Arabidopsis thaliana: one gene and its partner. The protein of the gene in region 1 interacts with the protein of each later gene in a pairwise test. Each region holds a gene or a part of one and is shown in the gene's direction. Other genes may lie near its edges.

The links. Proteins that work in one complex are often made in the same cells at the same time.
Region 2: the proteins of AT2G28315 (region 1) and PDLP8 interact in a protein complementation assay, tested with the Arabidopsis thaliana proteins (one large-scale study listed by BioGRID).

What each region holds. Positions count from the first base shown.
Region 1 is NC_003071.7:12,085,863-12,093,391, forward strand, and holds AT2G28315 (Nucleotide/sugar transporter family protein), read left to right. Parts: upstream 1-2,804; 5' UTR 2,805-3,033; coding exon 3,034-3,154; intron 3,155-3,270; coding exon 3,271-3,455; intron 3,456-3,535; coding exon 3,536-3,603; intron 3,604-3,691; coding exon 3,692-3,824; intron 3,825-3,907; coding exon 3,908-4,069; intron 4,070-4,263; coding exon 4,264-4,533; coding exon of another isoform or gene 4,534-4,542; exon of another isoform or gene 4,543-4,618; coding exon 4,619-4,708; 3' UTR 4,709-4,903; downstream 4,904-7,529. Other genes in the region: AT2G28310 (trimethylguanosine synthase (DUF707)), read left to right, coding at 20-128, 211-303, 413-517, 615-698, 792-907, 989-1,090, 1,168-1,281, 1,372-1,428 and 3 more. UniProt on the Arabidopsis thaliana protein: Nucleotide-sugar transporter that transports UDP-xylose and UMP in a strict counter-exchange mode.
Region 2 is NC_003074.8:22,438,834-22,446,378, forward strand, and holds PDLP8 (plasmodesmata-located protein 8), read left to right. Parts: upstream 1-2,937; 5' UTR 2,938-3,201; coding exon 3,202-3,928; coding exon of another isoform or gene 3,929-3,945; exon of another isoform or gene 3,946-4,540; coding exon 4,541-4,683; 3' UTR 4,684-4,770; coding exon of another isoform or gene 4,771-4,775; 3' UTR 4,776-5,041; downstream 5,042-7,545. Other genes in the region: AT3G60700 (hypothetical protein (DUF1163)), read left to right, coding at 29-314; AT3G60710 (F-box family protein), read left to right, coding at 1,365-1,540, 1,628-1,922, 2,068-2,208, 2,289-2,639; AT3G60730 (Plant invertase/pectin methylesterase inhibitor superfamily), read left to right, coding at 6,122-6,575, 6,742-7,155, 7,240-7,431, 7,528-7,545. UniProt on the Arabidopsis thaliana protein: Modulates cell-to-cell trafficking.

The sequences.
Region 1 (7,529 bases):
TTAGTGGTTAGTTTTGCAGTGGTGCTCCTCGAAGAACGAATGAAAATGCAAAGGTTATTATTACTACTATTTTGGGGATAGTGTTTGGGACTTTTATTGGTATCACATTACCTTCACTTTCGTTTAAGGTATGAGTTTTGTTTTTCATAGGTCCTTTTATGTGTCCCTTTCATTTTTGCACCTGTTGAATTTTGTTTCGTATTCCTGCAGATTAACTTACCCTCGCGCCTTATATCATCTCTTGATGTAGCCATATCTGGTGACAAATCCCCTGAAGATTTCGGTTCAAGAAAGTTTCCTGAGGTATATAATAAACTTCTTGTTCGGTTCCCTTTCGTTAGCTTTTCGATTATGTTCTAGAATAGTGCCTCATTTCAGATGAAATGTATCGTTTCTGTATGTTTGATTGCAGATATATGTTCCAACTAACCCGCGTGGTGCAGAACTACTACCTCCAGGAATCGTTGTGGCGAAAACTGATTTTTACTTGCGTAGATTATGGGGAGAACCTAATGAAGTATTGACTTCTCATTCTATATTTACTTTCTCAATATATATGGTTTTATCTCTGAAGGCCATTAGAATAGTTAATGTCAAAACAATAACCTTTGCAGGATTTGAAGAAGAAGCCAAAATATCTTGTGACATTTACAGTTGGATTTGAGCAGAGGAACCATATTAATGGAGTTGTTAAGAAGGTTCTGCAATATCAGCATGTGTTTTAGCAAGTATTGTTTTATATATTCTTTGTGGATACACTCAGATTTTTTGTTTTCTTGTCATATCTTCAGTTTTCTGAAGATTTCCAAATTTTGCTCTTCCATTATGATGGCCGGACAACTGAATGGGACCAATTTGAGTGGTCGAAGAGCGCGATTCATATTAGTACAAGAAAGCAAACAAAATGGTTAGTCATCTGGTCATTTACCGGTTATTAAGTATGTTTGTCGAGTATGTTTTTATCGAAATTCTCTACTGGTTTTGGCAGGTGGTACGCGAAGAGGTTTTTGCATCCTGATGTTGTGTCAGCTTATGAGTACATATTTATATGGGATGAAGATCTTGGAGTGGAGCATTTCAATGCGGATAAGTAAGTTATTACTTGTCTGAAGTAGCAGAACAATCTTATATTTTACATTTTGTGATGGAATTCTATTAAAACTTCAGGTACATTGAGTTAGTTAAGAAGCATGGTTTAGAGATTTCTCAACCAGGCTTAGAGCCTAACAATGGACTCACATGGGAAATGACAAAGAGGAGAGGTGACCGGGAAGTCCATAAGTAAGATCTCCTTCTCTAACCATTCTTCTTTGCCTTTCTTTCAAATTTGGTTCTGAATTAAGAAATGTGTTGTTACTTACTGTTGAACAGAGATACAAAAGAGAAACCAGGATGGTGTAAAGACCCACATTTACCTCCATGTGCCGCGTAAGTCTCTCTTTGAAACGTTCTCTTTAGAGCAACTCAAGAGTGTTTAGTCATTGTCAGTACTGAGTTTTCTGAAAAAAATTCCCTCTCACAGGTTTGTTGAAATAATGGCGCCTGTATTTTCTCGAGAAGCATGGCGATGTGTGTGGCATATGATTCAGGTTCGTCGATCTGTAGATACATAGTCCTAGTCTTAGTCCATCAAAATAATGCTTGTTGTTTTGATCAGTTTGTTTATGTTTCTGATGCAGAATGATCTGGTTCATGGATGGGGTCTCGACTTTGCGCTTAGAAGATGCGTTGAAGTAAGTTGTTTTTGCCCCCCCCTTGCTTACCTTAATAACACAATATTCTCTTGACTGATGATGAAAATTTGTGTGTTTTGCTTTTGCAGCCTGCTCATGAGAAGATTGGTGTTGTGGATTCGCAATGGATAATACATAAAGTGATACCTTCACTTGGAAGTCAAGGAAAGTCAGAGAATGGGAAAGCTCCATGGCAAGGAGTGAGAGATAGATGCAAAATGGAATGGACAATGTTTCAGAACCGATTGGCTGATGCTGATAAAGAGTATCTTGGGAAGATGGTGAAAGATTAGATTTGTTTTTCTTTTTTCTTTCTATATAATTAATATATTAAAAAAACTTTTACTTTTGTATATCAAATATTTTACACTAAATTAGGTTTTCATAGGACATGTGTGAAGCCCTTTTTATTGATATTGTGTAAGATTTATACATTTTGATTGAGCTTTATTATGTTGTTTGTTACTTTCTCCATTTCAAATTCTTAGATGTTTTTAAAAAGAAATTGCTTTCACTAAACAAGAGAGAAGTGAAACATGTAAAAAAAAAAAACTTTAGAAAACAAAGGTGTAATAGAAGTGGTTGTTATTACATAATCTTTTTGACTTCTGAAAAGACAATAAGAAAACAAGACTTATAACCAGTTTCATGATTTATCTATTTCACCCAATTTCATAAATTGGCTATTTTATATTTGCTCTCAATAGGTAACGTAAATGGTAGAGAAATTAAGGAGAAGAGAAGGGTATTGGTATGGACTTTGGAGTGAGTGTGAAGCTTTACACCAAATCCAAATAATTTCAATTTTCATTTTAGTTTCTATTTTACAATATTTTGCCCAATAGAAAAAGTATGAGAAATTCAGTTTCACCTTCCTTTTTGCTTTTAGTTCAAGTCAATTGTTTGTCCATAGAAAACCATACAATGTCTCCCTCCATTGGCTGTTTCATTTCAGAGTCTTTTTTATGGTTAAGAATTTGCTATCATATCATTAGTAGAAGTCTCTTATGAGGAAAAACAAATATTAAGCAACATCATTATAGTTTTTCTCATGTATCTTGTGCGTAATTATGTAAATGTCATAATTATTAAAACATGAAATTAGGAAGAACAGAAGTTTGGTGTTAGACACCAACCATTTTTATACAAACAAATAATAAAAATCTCATTATATCACCTTTGCATTTCATCACTCATCACATTCACAATCCTTCTCTTTTTCTCACATCAATATATATCTCTCTTTCTCTCTCTTCATTTGATAGATTTGAAGATTTGAGAGGAGAGAGAGGAAGAAAAAATGGGAGAGATGAAGAGTATGCAAATGGGTGTGATTGGAGCATTGTTTCTATCAGTTGCATCTTCTGTCTCCATTGTCATTTGCAACAAAGCTTTGATGACCAATCTTGGTTTCCCTTTTGGTAATTACTAGTACTTTTTTTTTTTGCTTTGTGAGAATATATTTTGTAAGATCTTTATCAAAAACCCGATTATTCGTCTTAGGATTGATCGCTTTTTTGCTATGGTTTTGTTACAGCAACAACACTTACTAGTTGGCATTTGATGGTAACATATTGCACACTTCATGTGGCATATAAACTAAACTTCTTTGAGAATAAACCAATAGACATGAGAACTGTTGTTCTCTTTGGCCTCCTCAATGGCATTTCCATTGGTCTCCTCAATCTCAGCCTCGGCTTTAATTCCATCGGCTTCTATCAAGTATATATCTTCGACATACTTTTGATCATGTAACAATTATATGATTCACCAATTTGATGTTTGTCCATAACTAATGGCAGATGACCAAACTTGCTATCATACCATTCACTGTTCTTTTAGAAACCCTCTTCCTCAACAAGAAGTTCAGGTGAACCAAACTTGATACATAAGATTATTTTAATTTTTATTGTTTACATAAATAACTTTTTTTTGAATGACATATTTTGGTTTTGCAGCCAGAAGATAAAATTCTCATTGTTTTTGCTGCTAGTTGGGGTTGGTATAGCATCAATCACAGATCTTCAGCTCAATTTTGTTGGCTCTGTTCTATCTCTCCTTGCCATTGCCACAACTTGCGTCGGCCAAATTGTATGCTTTAAGTTTCATTAAACTAATGTTTAATAACTAATACATAGTATAATTAATATGACTATGAAAATGTTGTGGTGAAGCTAACAAACACTATCCAGAAGAGACTGAACGTGACATCAACACAACTCCTATACCAATCAGCCCCGTTCCAAGCTGCTATACTCTTCGTCTCGGGTCCTTTTGTCGACAAATACCTCACTAGCCTCAATGTTTTCTCCTTCCATTACTCTCCCATCGTCGTGGTAATTTTTTACATCGTTAATTCCATTTATTCCCAATTGGTGTTAAAATAGAATTAGAATCATTGTCCTGGATCGGTCCAGCCCATTTTCGCATGGCCCCTTAGAGCCGTGCCCATGTTGAGCCATGATTGTATCATAACGTCCCTAGATAGATACTAAAATTTTGTGAAATTTGACAATGATGAATCATGCAGGGGTTCATAACGTTGTCGTGTTTGATAGCGGTTTCGGTTAACTTCAGTACGTTTTTAGTGATTGGAAAGACATCTCCGGTGACATACCAAGTCTTGGGACATCTCAAAACGTGTTTGGTGCTCGCATTTGGTTACACTCTCCTTCACGATCCCTTCACTCCTCGTAATATCGCAGGAATACTCATCGCTGTCCTCGGGATGCTTCTCTACTCCTACTTCTGCTCAGTTGCTTCTAAATCCAAACAAGCCTCCTCCGATTCCACTTTTCTTGTACGTTAACCACACAAAAAGAAAAGATAGAAATAATGAGTGTTGAAAGTTTCTAAGTACTTTGGTTTTATTCCTTTTTTGACAGGGGAAAGATAGAGATACGACGCCGCTTTTGGGACAAGAAAATGAGAACCATCATGAAGCCAAGAAATTAGACAAGCATTCTCCAGTATGAAATAGTACAATAACTCTTTCTTTATGTTTCGACTCTATAATTGTGTCCCTTTTTTTTGTTCATTCATTGATAATGTTTTTGTAATTGAGAAAAAATTGAAATAGCCAATGGGCATTTTCTCTTCTTTTTTATATTTACATTTCCTATTTCATTTCCTCCTTTTTGGATCTTACAAGGATTATAAAATTATTTTCTCTCGTACGTGTTCTTTGGTTTATGTTAGTGTTCTTCAAATGATCAAATGATTGTTTTCTATTAAGAAGATAAAATAAAATAGTATAGTACTAAATAGTGTTTAAAATACAATTAGTTTCAAAACGGTTTTGGACTTTTCGGTGATTAAAATGTGATAAATTATGAAGTTTTTGAGTTTATGGAAGAAAAATGATGGGCGATTTGACATATGCATATAATTATTATCGGTTTTTAGGATAACAGGAACCAGAAATTTCTAATAATTGAAATGCTTTATGCTCTTATTTTTCCTTTCCATATAAAAAATTTAAATGCAATTTATAACATATATACATATAGATATGTATATTGTTAAATATTACATGTGCGTTACGTCTAACGTTTACGAGAATTCATCCTCTGTTCACATGCTACGTTGTCGTTGTTGTTTTATCTTTCCATGAATAGTATATGTATAACATTTTTATGTTATGGTCTTATGGACCTACAAAGAGAATTGGCAATGAAACTTTCCCTTAAAAGCGAATAATTTTTTTAATTAAAAACTAGTGGTTGTGAGACTTGCAAGTTACGAATGACAAAAAAAAAAAAATAATAATAATAAATGAGAAATGGTCTTCAATCTTCATCAATAGGCCAACTTGTTTGCAACAACCAACAATCCAACTAAAAATCATTTTAAACAAATTATATGATGATGACTTATTCCTACAAATTACTACAGTTTTGGCCTTTTGTCCAACGATGTTGTGATACGTTTCTACATATTTCTCAATCGATCAACGCTAATGCTTATTTTTCAAGATTACTATTTTGTCTCCATGTGTTTTCAGAGACTATGCCTTGTCTTTGTTGGTTGGTTTCACTTTCTTTAGCCATTTTTTTTTTTAAGTCTCCACTCATATTGAATTAGTTAATTTAGGAGTTGGCAAAATAAAGTAAAACTATGGCTTGCATTTTAGTATAAGTAGTTTCTGTATGTGAATGTGATTAAGCTCCCAAGAGTTTTGTCTTACCTCTTGTTGTGATATGTTTATTTTGATTTTCTACCCAATAACATATCTTGTAAAGCGTTTATAACAAAGTAGTGTTTGATGGGTACAAACCACCCAGATGAGCTATATGACTTTTCATTTGTTTGTTTTTGAGCCACTGAGTGACATATAATCTAAAATTGTGCCACTTTCCCATTAAAACCATATGTTTTCAAGCATAATATCTTAATATCAGTATTTTAAAATTAAAAGCAAGATACTATTTTATCCACTTTGGAGAAGATAGATATTTGGAAAATTTGATAAGAATACTAATAAGAGTCTGATGCAATTTGCACATTAACCATTGATAAATAAGACACAACAAGCTCACTTCCGAGAAAAGAGTACAAAAATTAATATTACTCTAGTATAGTTACTTTAATACTTCAATGTTGTATATGATCAATGTACCACGCTAAATCTATTAAATATGTGATTTATACAAAAATTTACATGTGAACTATTTTTTAAAAAACTTTATCTACCCAGAGATTAGTTTTGAACTCCTCCACAGGTGGTGAGGATTTATCTTCAATTAACAGGAAAAAAAAAGTTTATCATCATTCACTCTAATAAATTTATTTCTCCAGTTTTCCATCTTCATTTTTTGAAAGTAATATATATTAAAACTTGTAAATTTTAATTTTATAAAATATTTATATTTTACAGTTTATAATTGTTATTAAGTAACGCTATACCACGAATCCATGAGACAATTGTTAAAATTTTTAAGTTTTAACCCCTATTAAAACAGCATATTAAACATATTTCAAAATTTTATAAATATTGATTCAAATACATCTACCATATAACCCAATTCCAAAATAAAACCCGTTCTGTAATTTCTTTACCCGTCCCGTGGTTTTTTTAAAAATAGTAATTTTTAAAATTTAAGAATTATTTTTTATATATAAAAGTTTTGCAAATTGTATCATTCTCTAATACATTTATATTTTATAGTTTAATTTTATATATAATAACATTATACATACCACATAACATTTTTGGTTTTATATAACCTTTTCTAAATTAGGATGATTTGATATGTTTAATATTAGTGGTCTTAAAATATAATAAATTAAAGATTTAATCCGTATTGAAATTGTGGATTAATTATATTTTACTTTTTTATTAATGTTGATTCAAAAACCCGTCCCTCCAAATCCGTCTTGCCAAAAAGCCATTTATTTTATTAATATTAATTTTATTAATGACATGACTCTGAATTATAATCTAAACATTTTATCTAATAACAAATGAGTGCACCATATTTATTTAATAGGAGACTGTACCATATGACCCGAATGCACTTTTATCCAAATCCACCAAAAAAGTCTTGCAAAAATACTATAGAGATAAGAAACGATAGTCGGTTTTGATAGGTATAAGATTAGCAACTATATAAGTTAGCTTAAATTAGTTAAAGAATACAAATTGAAAAGATATATTACACTTTATTCGAATATAGTATCAAAACTTATATAACACAGAGATTTGATAATTTTTTAATTATTGAATACATTTTTTGTGCTAATTTTTATGTGATTAAGATTTAATTGATTTCGTATATAAAATATTAAATTGTTTTA
Region 2 (7,545 bases), on another chromosome or scaffold:
AAAAATCTATTTTTTTTTGCTTGATCAGTTACAACAATCTTCTGTTTCATTGGCCTCAACTGCTCAAGGTTTCAGGGGATGTCTCTGAAGAGGATATCAATGGCGCGATTGGAAAAAACATTGTGAACGACATTAAAGAGAGAAGCGAAGTGCGCTTGGGGTTGCGGTTGTTTCTTCCGGATTGCAGAGAAAATAAGGCAGGGACCATGAAATTTGCTTGTGATGAGGTCAAAATGAAATTTGAGTCGAGTTATGAACAGAAGATTACATCAACTGTGGTTGGCTATCCTAATTGCCTCTATGATGATCACTAGTTTCTTGTTTAACTTTATATGAAGATTGGACCTTCTTTATGTGTAATATACTTTGGATAACGCATACCATCAGATATAAAACATCTCGTAGAGTTTACCAAACTGTGTTTGATATAGATTTTGTGTGGATTTCTCCCTTGACTAACAATCTTATAATTTTTTCAATCTTTATTTGCTAATTGACGATAATTTATTAATTTGATTTATTTTGTTCTTCTACATTTCGATTTAAATATTATAACGCTAGTGCTACTGTGCTATATATGGATTAACAAGCTCTTAGAGCATTTACATTGGTGGGCTCTTGATATAATTTTTAGAGATATTAAAATTTAAATTTAATATTTAATTGGTAAAATAGTTAAGATTTGACTCTTATATAAGAGACAAAATACACTTTTAAAAAATTTTTTTTTATTAAAACTCTTAATTTCAAAATAAATTATAAAATTATTGTTAAAAATATTTGCTAAAAGCTCACCAATGTGGTTGCTCTTAGGTTACCGACTAGGATATTGGTTCTCTCGACCAAGTATCTTGATTTTTGTGTGTGGTTTCATGCTCTCCAGTCTCCAATAAGATAATGACTAAATATACAACTTTTTCTTAAAACATAATTAATAAGAAAGAAAGAGTAACGAAAAATAGAAATTAACCTCATACATAATAATTGTGATATACGTATACCCTAGTCATGTCTCGAAAGCTCGTTATTGTAAAAAAAGTAGAAACACTCTCTTTAGACCAGAGTCTTTAGAAGATAAGATACTTTTTTAACGTGAAACCAAAACCCTTCTTTCCATAAACTCGTCTCAAATTTTTTGGTTTATTAGGTTTTGGAAATATCTGAGAGTGCTCTGCTCGTACGTTGATTGTGAACTTGATCTCAACTTAATTTGCTTTCTATGAATGCGATTTCGTGTTAACTGGTCTAGAAATTTCTACGACTCATGTTGCAGAACGCGGTTTAATTTTGATTTGTTTTCTTAGACCTTAGCTAATAAATACCGTGTCTTTGTCTCTTTGTTCTGTTGATCAATTTAGGGACCAATGGAAGATTTGATAAGCCAATTGCCCAATGAGTTGCTGCAAGAGATACTCTTGAATCTTCCCACGAGTGAGTCTGTTAGGACAAGTGTCTTACCGACAAGATGGAGAAATCTCTGGCAAAGTGTTCCTGGTTTGTACCTAATTTCTCGACAGATTCTTAAATTTGTAAACTTGCGGTTAGAATATGTAATTCTGGATGATTTTGATAGTTGTGAGTCTTTCTATCTACCTCACCTTGAGGTTATGCATTTAGGGTTTCGCAGTACACCGAGTGATGTGGTTCTAGAGATGCTTATCTCGTGCTCTCCTGTTCTTCAAGTCTTGAGCATTTGTGATGTTGGAGTTGACTTTTTGAAAGTGCGATCTCAGACGTTAAGGAGCTTGAGTCTATGGACATTTATCTTTAAGGGAGAAAATGATGATGTCTCCTTGGGTGATGATGGAGAATCTGGACTTGTGATTGACACTCCTAGCTTAGAGTTTCTGCGTATCAGAGATTTTCCATTGGAAGACTTCAGAGTGGAAAGTGTTATTTCTTCTATCAAGATGTGTATCGATGTACGGTTTTATGGGGAGATGACTTTTCAAACACGCAAACTTTGCACAAGTTTTTTGCTGAGTTCTCGGAGGTCACAGATCTTAGCATCTCTGGCCATACTCTAGATGCATGTATTTGTTCTTACCAAGTGTTGGTTCTTGACAGGGAACCTATGCTTACACAAAACTGCAACAACTGCCTGAATTCAAGAACTTGACCCGTTTGTACGCTTTTCTCCATACCGACTATTCAGAGATGTTGCCTATATATCTCTCCAGCAGTCCCAACCTAAAATCTATTGACTTGGTAATGATTCCTTCTCTTGGTATTGAGAGTAGCGAGTGACTATATATATTATACATGTCTTATGGTGTTTTCCTTTGTAGGAGCTTCATGGTTATCCAAAGATGGAGGAAATTGCAAGCTCACCAGTGCCAAAATGTCTCCAAACATCCATTGAGAATGTCAAAATAAAAATGACGCCCAAGGCTGACCAAGAGAAAAGCCGAAAAGCTGAAACCGAGGTTGCTAACTACATCTTAGAGAATGCAACACTTCTGAAGCTCACTCTATGGTTAGATGATGAAGAAGAAGACGAGTCTAGCAGCGTCCTTGAGAAAATTCTCACCTTTCAAAATTACTCTTTTGTAGAGGTGAAGATAGGTCGAGAAGCATCGAAATTTCGCCTAGGTTATACATTTGATGAAGCTAAGCACTTTAGTCGTCGTTTTCTTTAAATCTCTTATGATCAATCTAATTAGCCCTTTTGGTCGTGGTCAGGATTTAAAGAAAGTTGTTTCTATCACTTGAAAATTCTCCACTAACTTGATGAGAATATGTGTGATGGAATCGATCTAGCGAACATATACTAATCAAAAGGACATGCCTAAAATGGGACCCTCTTTGCACAAAAGAAGTTTCAAGATATTATTATACCCACAAAACCAAATCTTCTTTAATCATGTCTAAATCATTTTAGGCACTCTTAACAAAACAATAATGTTATCATCCAATTTGTCTACACTTTGGTATTGATTCGTTACAAGTGAATGTTCTAGACCACGTTTGTTGATCTATTATGTAGTTTTGTATTCATCCTAGCTACATTTATATATATCCACTTATTTCTTAACTACGGTATGCATTATACATGTTTGTATTAATGTCGCCGATAAAAGTTTCGGACCCATAGTGATGAATAATCATTCTCGATTATTATTGTTAAATAAAACACTACAAGGAATAAGATAGATCAAAAACGAAAGCTCCTTTGAAAACAATCTCAAAGAACAAGAAAATATGAGAAGACTCTTTCTCTTCTCTCTCCTCTTTTTATTCTTTTACTCATCCTCCTCCTCAAGATCTTCATCAGAATCTCACATCTTCATCTACGGAGGATGTTCACCGGAAAAATACACACCAAACACACCTTTTGAGTCAAACCGCGACACTTTCCTCTCCTCTGTCGTCACTTCCTCCTCTGACGCGTCCTTCAACAGCTTTGCCGTCGGCAACGACTCCTCCTCCTCCTCATCCTCTTCCGCCGTCTTCGGCCTCTATCAATGCCGTGACGATCTCCGATCATCAGACTGCTCAAAATGCATCCAAACCTCAGTCGATCAAATCACTCTCATTTGTCCTTACTCTTACGGCGCTTCTCTCCAGCTCGAAGGCTGCTTCTTACGTTACGAAACAAACGATTTTCTAGGGAAACCAGACACAAGTCTTAGGTACAAGAAGTGTAGTTCCAAGAGCGTTGAGAATGACTACGATTTCTTTAAGCGGAGAGACGATGTGTTGTCGGATCTTGAGTCGACTCAACTCGGTTACAAAGTTAGCCGGTCCGGTTTAGTCGAAGGTTATGCTCAGTGTGTTGGTGACTTGAGTCCTAGTGACTGTACGGCTTGTCTTGCCGAGTCTGTCGGAAAATTAAAGAATCTTTGTGGCTCGGCGGTTGCAGCTGAGGTTTACTTGGCTCAGTGCTATGCTCGTTATTGGGGCTCTGGTTACTATGACTTCTCTTCAGGTCAGTCCATAAATTAAAATCTTTATTTCATTTATTAGCTATTGCTCTAATTTACGTAAGTTCTTTAATTATATTCGTGAATCATGCTTAGTGCCATGATAATATAATTGAAAATTGTAGTAATGAACTGTATAGAAATGTGTGAGAATTTGACAAAATTTAAATTTCCGCCGCTTATAATTGAGAAAATCACAAGTCTAGTCGCTCCTTGGTAGCACGAGAAAGTTGAAGAAATCATAAAATTTTCGTTGCTTTTTTTTTTTTGTAATTTCCACTGGAAAGACACCATTAAGTATTGAATAAAATAGAATTAATCTTTTGAATCATTCGTTGGAAAATTCGAGTATCATGATTATAATATCATTGGTCAGAAAAGAATGTTTTTGCAATATATTATTCTTTTCTTTATAGGCATAGCCACCCATGTCCCCATTTTCAACTTTATTTTATATATTCTTTATAGCTTGATCAATATCACATAGTCCAAAAGTCATTGCATCTTAGAAAATCTAATTCTTAGCTTGATACTATATTGTCCTTATCTTATGTACTTTAATTTGTCACATACAATATTAAGATCTTTTTAAATTTGATCTAATTTTCGTTATTAAGATCCAACGAATGGAGATCACGTGGGGAAATCAATCGCGATCATCGTAGGAGTCATTGCTGGATTCGCAATTCTTGTTGTTCTCCTCTCCCTTTGTAGAAACTCCATGCGTAAGTCTATACTTACTTGCCTAATCTTCACATGATTAAGATTTAAGATCAAATCACTCATTTTTAGTATATATTTAGAAATAAGTATCATGATCTCATAATTTTTCTTATCTGATTTGCAGATTGATATAATGAAAGGCATGATTCGGGATACAAGATTCTAGGGACCTGTTTTTTTTTTTTTGAACTCTCTTGTATTCCACTATTCCTTTTATTTTGTAGGAGGAACACATCCGTTACCGTTCCTTGCTGAAATTTTTGGTTTATCAAAAGGAAAACTATTAGTGACTGATGATATAATGATTTTTAGCTTTGAGGTATTAAATATTTGTATAGTGTGACCCGTATTGTCTGCCTTAAAAAGATGCTAACTTTATTCCATTAACTAGTTTTAGACTAAAATCCACTTTCCTTAGCAGGCGCAATTATTCGATACTCATACTTAGATAAGTAGATTATCATTTCCGGAGAACAACGTGATTCGATCGATTGAGTATCATTAAACTTTAAAAGGTTCTGCCGGCAAAAAAAAAAAAGAAGAAGGCTTATAAGACTTGAGAGGTTCCATTCAATCAATTCTTTGGTTTTCTACGATCCGGATCTACCCGGTTCTCATGGGTTTCACCACATATTCCATTGAGCCATTAAATTATTATGGACTGGGCCTCGGCCTACTAAGCTTCTAAGCCGTGTAACATATCTAAAAGACTAAAACATTTTCCATGCAACCATTCCTTTTTTTTTGTATTTTTTTAAAAATTAATTCAAGAAATTCTTTTACCAAAAACATATAAACCCATGACAAAAATAGTAATTTTCACTAATGTTACAACATATTACTCCAACAAAATTATTACTTTATATATTATTCTATTAAAATATAACTGATCATTCATGGATTTTGTTTTCTTTTCTTTTTGACTCCAAATCCTGAAAATTTCTTTTATTTATATATATATATATATATATATATATATATATATATATATCTTATCCATCGTAAATTCGTAATAATGGGATTATGATTATATATCACTATACCAGTATATAAAAATTTAGGTTTAATCCAGTATATATAGTAGTCTCTCAGCTCTTGAAGATAATAAACTTATGATGAAGAAGAACAACTTAAGGTTGTGTTCTTGACACATAGACGTATACGTTTACTCACTTTGATACAGAGCGTTGCACTAATTTACAACCTGAAATGTATAACGTAATTAATGAAGTTAGTCTCATATGCATGGGCCATCAATAATCATATAAACAAAAGCTTACACATACTCTCACACGTGCCTTATCTCTCTCTCCATCTGTTAGATTCCTCGCCACCATCTTCATCTACATTTCTACGACAAGTTCCATTCTTCGTTTGCTGTTAAATACACAACAACATCAATAATTATTTACTTAAAACGCATTTCAAGAAAATTACTAAACACTACAACAATCTTATAATAACATTTACTAAAAATGTCCACGTTTGTAAAAGTCACCGACTTAATCACTATCATGTTCTTTCTAGCCATTGCTGCCGTCATAACCGCCTCAAACACAGCCGAGTTGGATGTACTTGAAATGGCTAGAACTGCTGTGGTTGAAGCCAAGACTAGTTTTGGGTCAATGGCTGTGACTGAGGCAACTAGTGAAGTTGCTGGTAGTTATTATAAATTGGGGTTAAGTGAATGCGAGAAGCTCTACGATGAGAGTGAAGCTAGGCTATCGAAACTGGTCGTAGATCATGAGAATTTCACCGTTGAAGATGTTAGAACGTGGCTAAGTGGCGTGCTTGCGAATCATCACACTTGTTTAGACGGTTTAATTCAGCAACGTCAAGGTCATAAGCCTTTGGTCCATAGCAACGTCACGTTCGTGCTCCATGAAGCTTTGGCTTTCTACAAAAAGTCTAGAGGTCATATGAAAAAGAGTAAGAAAACTTACACATACATTCATGTATACATAATTAAATAAAATGATACAATAAATCGCTCTGTTTTATCACTAAATAACGATTGTAGACTCCAAGATAAGTGTAAATTTTTGTTTGAGATATCATGGTTTATCTATTATGGATCTCTAATAACATTTGGTAGGGCTGCATGGACCAGCGAGACAGGGCCATGGACCAACGAGACCAAAACATAGACCAACGAGACCAAATCATGGACCAGGAAGATCACACCATGGACCATCAAGACCAAACCAAAACGGTGGAATGTTAGTGTCATGGAATCCAACAAGTTCAAGGGCAGATTTCGTGGTGGCTCGGGACGGTTCGGCGACTCATCGGACGATAAACCAAGCATTAGCCGCCGTTTCAAGAATGGGTAAAAGTCGGTTGAATAGAGTGATAATATACATAAAAGCTGGTGTTTATAACGAAAAAATCGAAATAGATAGACACATGAAAAACATCATGCTAGTTGGTGATGGTATGGACCGTACAATTGTCACCAATAACCGAAACGTCCCGGACGGTTCCACGACTTATGGATCAGCGACATTCGGTATAAAATATTTAAAATTCTACTATTAATCTTCATACATAGATCATGCATGTTGAATAATTACTGCGCTTACTCGTTATATAGGAGTGTCCGGGGATGGATTTTGGGCACGGGACATAACGTTCGAGAATACTGCAGGACCACATAAACATCAAGCTGTGGCGTTGAGAGTGAGCTCAGACTTGTCTTTATTCTATCGGTGTAGTTTCAAAGGATATCAAGATACTCTTTTCACGCACTCACTTCGTCAATTCTACCGCGATTGTCATATTTATGGTATTATTTTTAATCTATGTACCATTTGTTTAAACTCGTATGGAAGCTAGTCATGATCATACATGGATTAAGAATTTTTGGGAAATTTTGGAATAGGTACGATTGATTTCATAT